2 linked regions of the Drosophila melanogaster genome follow. The protein of the gene in region 1 purifies or fractionates together with the protein of each later gene. This does not show direct contact. Each region holds a gene or a part of one and is shown in the gene's direction. Other genes may lie near its edges.

Evidence for each region.
Region 2: the proteins of betaTub56D (region 1) and Pfdn2 purify together in Drosophila melanogaster (affinity purification with western blotting, with the first as the bait; one study listed by BioGRID). This does not show direct contact.

What each region holds. Positions count from the first base shown.
Region 1 is NT_033778.4:19,446,513-19,451,457, reverse strand, and holds betaTub56D (beta-Tubulin at 56D), read left to right. Parts: upstream 1-1,858; 5' UTR 1,859-2,047; coding exon 2,048-2,131; intron 2,132-2,711; coding exon 2,712-3,998; 3' UTR 3,999-4,139; downstream 4,140-4,945. UniProt on the Drosophila melanogaster protein: Tubulin is the major constituent of microtubules, a cylinder consisting of laterally associated linear protofilaments composed of alpha- and beta-tubulin heterodimers.
Region 2 is NT_037436.4:11,072,368-11,076,210, reverse strand, and holds Pfdn2 (prefoldin 2), read left to right. Parts: upstream 1-1,822; 5' UTR 1,823-1,964; coding exon 1,965-2,095; intron 2,096-2,199; coding exon 2,200-2,500; 3' UTR 2,501-2,919; downstream 2,920-3,843. Other genes in the region: Noc1 (nucleolar complex protein 1), read right to left, coding at 1-382, 442-556, 622-1,350; Mocs1 (molybdenum cofactor synthesis 1), read right to left, coding at 3,054-3,649, 3,801-3,843. UniProt on the Drosophila melanogaster protein: Binds specifically to cytosolic chaperonin (c-CPN) and transfers target proteins to it. Binds to nascent polypeptide chain and promotes folding in an environment in which there are many competing pathways for nonnative proteins.

The sequences.
Region 1 (4,945 bases):
GTGCGGCAACCAAATCGGCGCCAAGGTAAGTTTTCCCATTTGCATTTTCCATTCATTTTCCATCCAGAGTACAGTTGCCAAAATGGCGTCATTTTTGCACGACTTCGCTGTCCATGTGGCAAAAATTTGTATTGAGGCCGGCATTTTCACACTCACACATTTGCATTTATGTATACCAAGTTGTGTGCGTGTGTGTGTCGAGTGGTCTTTTTGAGTCCCGGCATCTGTGTTTGTATATACCGCATATTTGTCCGATTTCGCAAAGATGCTTGAAAATTGTTGTTCTACTCTGGCATTTGGGGTCCAAAATTTAGAACGAAAGTTTGTTACGCCCGAATTTCCGATCGATATAATGCTTTAGGGCCATTGACATTCGCATATGTACTTCGTGCCCATATGTATGTACATATGTAAGTAATTATAGTTGGGTGTGTCTGCAATTACACCGACGCTGGTGGCTGTGTGTATGCCTGTGTGCGTGTTGCATGCATGAGTCATTTTCTCTTGGGCGAAAGACTTTCATAGTTTTTCACCGGTTGTGAAAGCCATTTCACTGCCCAGATGGTGAAGGGTACTTTTCTATCGTCAAAACACGATAGCTTTTCTACACGCACATAAGAGCTTGCTGCTCATTTGTATGTGTGAGCGTCGGCCGGTTTTTTCATTTAATTTTTTTTTTTTTGCCGCTATGCGTCTTCTAAAGAGAAAACATGACGTCATTTTAACCTAAAATGGCTGAACCGGTCGTCGTTGAACGGTTCGCAGAACGTATAAGAGTTGATCTTATACGTAGATGGGATATAAGTATGTAGATATATGTGTTCGTAGGCTGCATTAGCTGTTCTATTGATTTTCATGCATTCCACACTCTGCTCCCTACTTAAAATTGCGCTACTTCGGCGGCTTCTCTATCTTATCATGGAATGAAACAATTTTCTATTTTTTATTCATGACTATAGTATAGACAGATTTCGGTTCTCTTTCGGCCATTATGTGCCAAAATGAAACTTTACTTTTAGCAGTAGGAATTGGGAGTCTGCAAGGTGAGATGATGACCTTATATAGAGGAATTTGCCATCTGTTTGTCTCTATCCCAGTTTCCTCTCGCACACAAAAAGCAACGAAACCGAGAAGGGCGGTGCTGCACATGCGTGTGGGATAACGGGGCACAGGACACGAAGGTGATGTTGATGATGACGAATCTTTCTAGTCCTTGCCCGAAAAATCAATACCCACATGCTGGGCATGGGCCCATGAGCCGAAAACAACCCTCGGAAACGCCTTAAAACCCGAGCAGCTGCAACATCAGAATTGTTGTGCCCAAGTATGGCTCTCAATATCTCTCTCTCTCGCTTTCGACCCGACCGGCTTACAAATGTGTATTTCTATATTTATATATACACTTTATATACATAGAATCCGGTATGACGGTGTCATTTCGCTAAACGAGTGTCAACCACGCATTTCCTCCAATACCAGTGTAGCGACTTATTTCGGTTAATTGTTTTTATTTGTTTACGCGACATAAACAACGACCATCGCAAAAAGTTCAGGTGACGTAATGCCCTGAAAAACAGACGATTTATGCGCCAGATGGTCGGTAGTTGGAGCACTGAGCTGCAGTTTTAACCTCTCAGCAAACAGACAACGCCAACGCCTCTCTCCAACTGGTACCCACTGCTCCTCCCACTCCTCCTCCGTTTCCCTCTTGCAGAGACGAGAGTGGGTCGCGAGACCCGAACAACCGGTGATGTAAGCCGCATCGGAAGCAGGGGGGCTTTTTGGGGTGGCAGAGCCCGGCTCTGAGGTCGCCGGCATTGCGTGGGGGCAGCACGTAGACATATAGACAGACAGACAGATAGTAGTTATACAGCTCAGTTCCAGCCCACGCCCGAAGATTCGAGTAAGATCGGTCGGCGGAACGCAATGACAGCTGCGCCTCGAGATCCGAAACGAAAACCCACGCCAGATGACGTTATCGTTGGTGTGGCGATGGTGCTGCTGGTCGTGGTGGTGGAAACGCACCAAAAATGGCAGCGAATAAGTTATGTTAATCGGAGCTCGGCCCATACACAGAGTTTATGATGGCGTACATGGGTGGCCTAAACCACGTAGCCGAGCCCAGACATGTGTATGTACATCGGCTGCTTCTTGTGCCCATTTATTCCAATCAATAAAGAGTTATATATAGACTGACTTTCCATAACCCATCACACATTTTGTTCGAGAAGGTTTCTGTATCGAAGTTATCTGTATAAGTTAAGAGAAAAACAAGAAAATAAGATTGCCTTTCACATGCATCAACTTTCACTGGGTATGGAAGAAAAATTTTAAGCAAATTACTTGCAGAATTGGAAATGAGTTTCAGTGATTAGTAAAAGTTTTCTTCAACTGCAGTACTCTTGTGCAAATAAAAGTTACCGTTGCTTAAGCATAAACTTCTTTTGTGATTTATGTGAAGCAGTCAAATAAATACTAGCTGTATATATGTATGCAGCAGATGGTCTAGGCTTTGAGTAATTTTACTACCATTGATTTTCTGTGATGACTCATTGGCCAAGTCATTCATACATTTTCTTAAGACTGAGTTAGAAAACACCCCCTAGTAATCGATTTTCCTGCTGACTCATGTTCACAAGAAATGCTGTACAGCACCTGCAAGTCCTAATCGCACTAATCCCAAATTCTTTACTTCCATTTCTCATTTGCAGTTCTGGGAGATCATCTCCGATGAGCATGGCATCGATGCCACCGGCGCCTACCACGGTGACAGCGACCTGCAGCTGGAGCGCATCAATGTGTACTACAATGAGGCGTCCGGTGGCAAGTACGTGCCCCGCGCTGTCCTTGTCGATCTGGAGCCCGGCACCATGGACTCTGTGCGATCGGGACCTTTCGGCCAGATCTTCAGGCCCGACAACTTTGTGTTCGGCCAGTCGGGTGCCGGCAACAACTGGGCCAAGGGTCATTACACAGAGGGTGCTGAGCTGGTGGACTCAGTGCTCGATGTTGTCCGCAAGGAGGCCGAATCCTGCGACTGCCTGCAAGGCTTCCAACTCACACACTCCCTTGGCGGCGGCACTGGCTCCGGTATGGGAACCCTGCTGATTTCCAAGATCCGCGAGGAGTACCCCGACAGGATCATGAACACATACTCGGTTGTGCCGTCGCCCAAGGTGTCGGACACCGTTGTGGAGCCCTACAACGCCACCCTGTCGGTGCACCAGCTGGTCGAGAACACGGACGAGACCTACTGCATCGACAACGAGGCTCTCTACGATATCTGCTTCCGCACCCTCAAGCTGACGACACCCACATACGGTGACCTGAACCATCTTGTCTCCCTGACCATGTCCGGCGTAACCACCTGCCTCCGATTCCCCGGCCAACTGAACGCTGATCTCCGCAAGCTGGCCGTCAACATGGTGCCCTTCCCACGTCTTCACTTCTTCATGCCCGGCTTCGCTCCCCTGACCTCCCGAGGATCCCAGCAGTACCGCGCCCTCACCGTGCCCGAGCTGACCCAGCAGATGTTCGATGCCAAGAACATGATGGCCGCCTGCGACCCACGCCACGGACGCTACCTTACCGTCGCCGCCATCTTCCGTGGACGCATGTCCATGAAGGAGGTCGACGAGCAGATGCTGAACATCCAGAACAAGAACAGCTCCTACTTCGTCGAATGGATCCCCAACAACGTGAAGACCGCCGTGTGCGACATCCCGCCCCGTGGTCTGAAGATGTCCGCCACCTTCATCGGCAACTCCACTGCCATCCAGGAGCTGTTCAAGCGCATCTCCGAGCAGTTCACCGCTATGTTCAGGCGCAAGGCTTTCTTGCATTGGTACACCGGCGAGGGCATGGACGAGATGGAGTTCACCGAGGCCGAGAGCAACATGAACGATCTGGTGTCCGAGTACCAGCAGTACCAGGAGGCCACCGCCGACGAGGACGCCGAGTTCGAGGAGGAGCAGGAGGCTGAGGTCGACGAGAACTAAATTCGAATCGGAAATCAATCGAATTCTCGATCAATGTTTTGCGAAAAAAAATGAAACGAGAACAAATGAATTCAGTTGTAAAAGATTTGTTCTCTTAACAACGTAATCAATAAAGTCGGATCCAATTTTGTTCACAAGTCTAAACAATTATGGTTTTTGTTGGGGTTTCTTATAATTAATAAGAGAGATATCAATCATTTTACGAGGATTATGAGACTGCGTTTTGTAGTCCAAGAAAGCTGATTAATGTTTAGAGTGTTGGTATAAATGTTAATAGGCTCATTAATGTAGGTTTTGACAAAAGCGAGGTATTTGTACATTTTCTCATTGTATTATTTGGATTCACAAATTTATGTTTATTTAATCGGGTTTCTCCCAGCTAAAAACAATAGAAATCTTTTCACCGGCTGTGTTTGTTTTGGACATGGTTATGTTGTGATGATTGATAATTTCATTCACATTAGTTTATTTATAGACCTTTTTTATTTATTGACAATGATTTGCCCTACCTACCTCAACTTTCGAGCAAATGCTGCATAAACAAAAGTAATTCGCCCTTGAAGAGGACATGACATGATATTTTCAGCGTAGGAAGTGGGCCTACGTACCATTGTGGTTCAGACGGCCTTGTATGCAATAAATCTAATTAATATATATATATATATATATTATGGTAGTCTTAACGCTACGGTTTCCCACACGCGATTTTCATGAAGCTGGAGTGTAAGTTTTTTGTTTTTATTCAAAACTTAAAAATCCACTTTGCATGTGTCATAAATAATGAGTCATGAATCATAACCTTAATTCACTTTAATAAGCATAATTAGTTCGTTGAAATATCTCTATTAACTACTTCTGCGGAGTAGATAAACGTGATTTGCTGTTTTAATGCGCATATGTATTAACAACATATTAAATGCACAATTAAACTGTGGTCATAATAAATT
Region 2 (3,843 bases), on another chromosome or scaffold:
AGGCCCTGCATAACGTTCTTCAAGAACTCGTGGTACTGATCCTTTAATTCGCTCTCAAAATGCCAGTACGCGTAAATGCGGCGCTTCTGTTCGTTGCGCAAATTCTCATCCTTTTTCAGCTTTTTCCAATCAGCACCACGTGTGTGCACCGCCAGGAGTTTTCTGTTTGGCGGGAGCAGCACCTCCTGCCACAAATCCGTGAGCACTGCAATCACATCATTGCTGGCCTTGTTGGAGATCTTGCAGAAGCCAATTAAAGTGCTCAATGCTTCCAAATTGCCCAGTGGATTGCTCGTCACCAGAAGGGCGCCCGCATTGGCCCGATCCTTTGCAGTACCCTTGTGCAGAGCGGTTTGCAACCAGCGAGCATCCGAGGGATTACCTAAAGATGAGATAAAAACATTAGTAGGGGTTCCAATTTCCGAGTCGAGAAAGTCTTACGTTTATTAAAAGTTATCTTCTCCGCTTCGAAGGAATTCTTGCAGAGATTGTACAGCTCCAGCTGATCGTTCTCCTTCATGTCCAGCACCTCATCGGTGGACGGATAGTCGGGATGCTAAGATACGATAGTGATAACTATAAATGATTTATTTCCACGATTTCAGTTTAGTTTCAACATACCACATGATACCACTTCTTTTGGGACTCCTCGTCTTCATCTATTTTTGACTGATATTTGTTGTGCTTTTTGGAAATGGAGTCCCCCAGTTCCTCATCACTGTCTCCATCGCTGTCGGATACATTTTTTCCAGCTCCATCCTCATCAAACTTGATTCGTTGGGGCTTTTTAAAGTTCTCCTTGGACTCTCCGTCATCTCCAAACTTGATTTTTTGGGACTTCTTGGTCGGTTCCGTCTTTGTGTTGGAAGAATTCGCAGTTACTTCATCTTCTCCATCATCAGTGAACTTGATTTTCTGAGGTTTATTGGCGAAGTCCGACTTTTGACCATTATGTTTATGGTTGTTTTTGTTGAAAGGTTTTTGATGCACTGCTTCTCTATCCTCTCCAAATTTGATTTTCTGTGGTTTTGGTCCATTTTTATGATTTTGGTTGAACGACTTGGAAGCTACTTGTTCTCCATCATCGCCGAACTTTATTCTCTGTGGTTTGTTGGCAAAATCCGGCTTTTGGTGGTTCTTATTAAAGGACTTAGCACCTTTCGCTTTTCCATCCTCTCCAAACTTAATTTTCTGCGGCTTTTTCACCTGTTCCTTCCCTTCAAATTTTGGCCTTTGTGGGTGCTCCTTTTTGTTTTGTTTAACTACCGCCTCGCCGGAGTCGTCGAACACGATTTTCTTGTTTTTGGGCGGTCCACCGAATTGCACACCTGTGGCCACTGCTGCCGGCATGATTTTATATTTTCTAAAGCTATATATTAGATAAAAATCATTAAATAAAATAAACGGCGTTAGAAACAACTCGCACGTGTATTCAAATATGACATTCACCGCGAAACGTAAGCAACATATGTATGTCGTCTACTTAGTGACGAATTTCATTGTCTTTATGATATTAAAATTTTGTATTTAAAATCTTAAATAAGAGAGTATCCAACTTAGTTTTAAAATTTATAAATTATTCAGTAATTACCATTGAAATGACCGTGACTTTTGATAGCAGGTGGGTTTGAAGTTATATAAAGCTTGAAGTTATTATAATCTGATTATAAGTAAGAATAAAATTGAAATTCTTATATAGAATTACTATTAATTTATAAATTATTACATTAACTTATGTTTAAGTAACTGAAGTTGTGCTATATTTTCTTTTACCGTTACACCATTTTTCCACAATACATTTACGGTCTTACTGCCTTGACGCGCTTGGGATTTGTTAGGACGTTTATCGCATAGTCCTCGTGTTCGGTCTCGTATTTTGAAAGAAAATCGCAGATTATCGCCAATTTGAAGCGATTATCCCGGTCTAGATTTCGAAGGGGTCCTTTTGGATAGCGAACATTGCAATGAGCACCGAATCGGCGAAGCCGGCACTCAGCCAGGAGGCCATTGTGGCCCAGTTCCAACAGCTGCGCAATGAGCAGCGCAATTTGGTCAACAGTTTAAATACGCTCGAAATGGATTTGAGGGAACACAAGTGAGTCACCGGGGGCCCAAAGATGGATGACACGTCTGTTTGTGATTTTGGGCAAGTGGGAGAATCCCTGCAGACACAATGACATAACTCCTTATCCTCCCTAGAACTGTGATAGAAACTCTGGAGGCGGCGGATCCCGAACGGAAATGCTTTCGTCAAATTGGTGGTGTGCTGTGCGAAAGGACCGTGAAGGAGGTGCTGCCACAGCTGGTGGAGAACAAGGATTTCATCGCCAAGACCATCCAAATGGTCACCAATGACCTGAGCAAAAAGGGCAGTGAGCTGAACAAGTTCAAGGAGGAGCACAATATCAAGATTCGCGGCGAACACTTGGTTGCCGAAGGAGCCAAGGGCGACGATGCGGAGGACAAGGCGGAGAACCGTAATGTCCTGGTGTTCAACTGAGAGCGATTGATTACCTCACCACACCGTATTTATTGTGTCTATGTTGAGAGGGAACTCTGCCAGGATTTGCGAGCGATAATCCGCGTTTATTGAACACTTCTAATGTTGTATGTACTTCTAGCTGTAAGGCGCAGTTCGCGAAACGCCTCCAATCGCACCTTCACACCAACACTATCCATCAATTCCCCTCATTTAAACTTAACCCACTCTGGCCACGAATTAAAGATACCTTAAACTTCCGATTGAAATTAGTCATGTGTCTTGTGATTCATTCAAGATCTGAAAATGGATGGACCTCTATCCACCGACTGGAAACAAAAACTATATAAACTATATGATTATTTATCCCTTTTATGCCATTTGTTCTGAAACATTTTATTGGTATGTTAGTCAAATTAGTTTCCTATAAGGAAGTGATTTCATCTACATTTTTACACTTATGTATTCTTGCTTCATAAGTCTTTTAATTTAATATTTGTGGCTAAATCAAGTAAGCAGTAGTTTATTTTCCATTCCCCGTATCGTGGTTAATCCGGTTAGTCGGGTATTCGACTTATTCGACTTCTGTAACTATCCCATTTTGCGGCTCCTCCCTCTGGAAGTCCCTTTTTCCGCCGGATTTGCTTAGCAGGCGGACATTTGTGATGCAGATATCGTGAGAAACAGCCTTGCACATGTCGTACACAGTTAAAGCGGCCACTGAAACTGCAGTTAGTGCCTCCATCTCGACTCCAGTTTGGCCCGAGCAGCGAACGGTTGCCTCCAGCCGCACAGATTGTTCGGTTTTCAGAAGAGTGGCCTGCACTTTCACGGAGGACAAGCTGATGTTGTGACACAGGGGTATCAGTTCGGCGGTTCGCTTAGCGCCCATTATGCCAGCAATTTGGGCTACGGTTAGAACATCTCCCTTGGCCACTTGATTGTCGGCTATAAGTTGGGTAAGTTTCTCACCCACCTGAACGGTGGCCTCTGCACGAGCTAATCTTGTGGTCGAAGGTTTTGCGCCCACATCCACCATTTGGGCCTTGCCCTGGCCATCGACATGGGTGAGTTGGCTGTAATTTCGGGCCTGAAGCTGCAGCCTTGAAGTATGATATGCGTGGTGATACGAATAAGGATGAAGATGATGATGGAGTCTTGGCGCAGCATCTGCAACGGGAGAGGGGAGAGAGTGTGGTGTGTCTACTAGCCGCCAATGAGTATCATGGGCCGGTTCTCCATCTGCGACAGGTTCAGCATGCCTGCGAAGGAGTACCAAGTTCTGAAGACTTTCTACGTTTCATTCGGAATCGAAACTCACCTGCATGCTGTTTCTTCTTACGCTGGACGGCTGCTCCAATGAG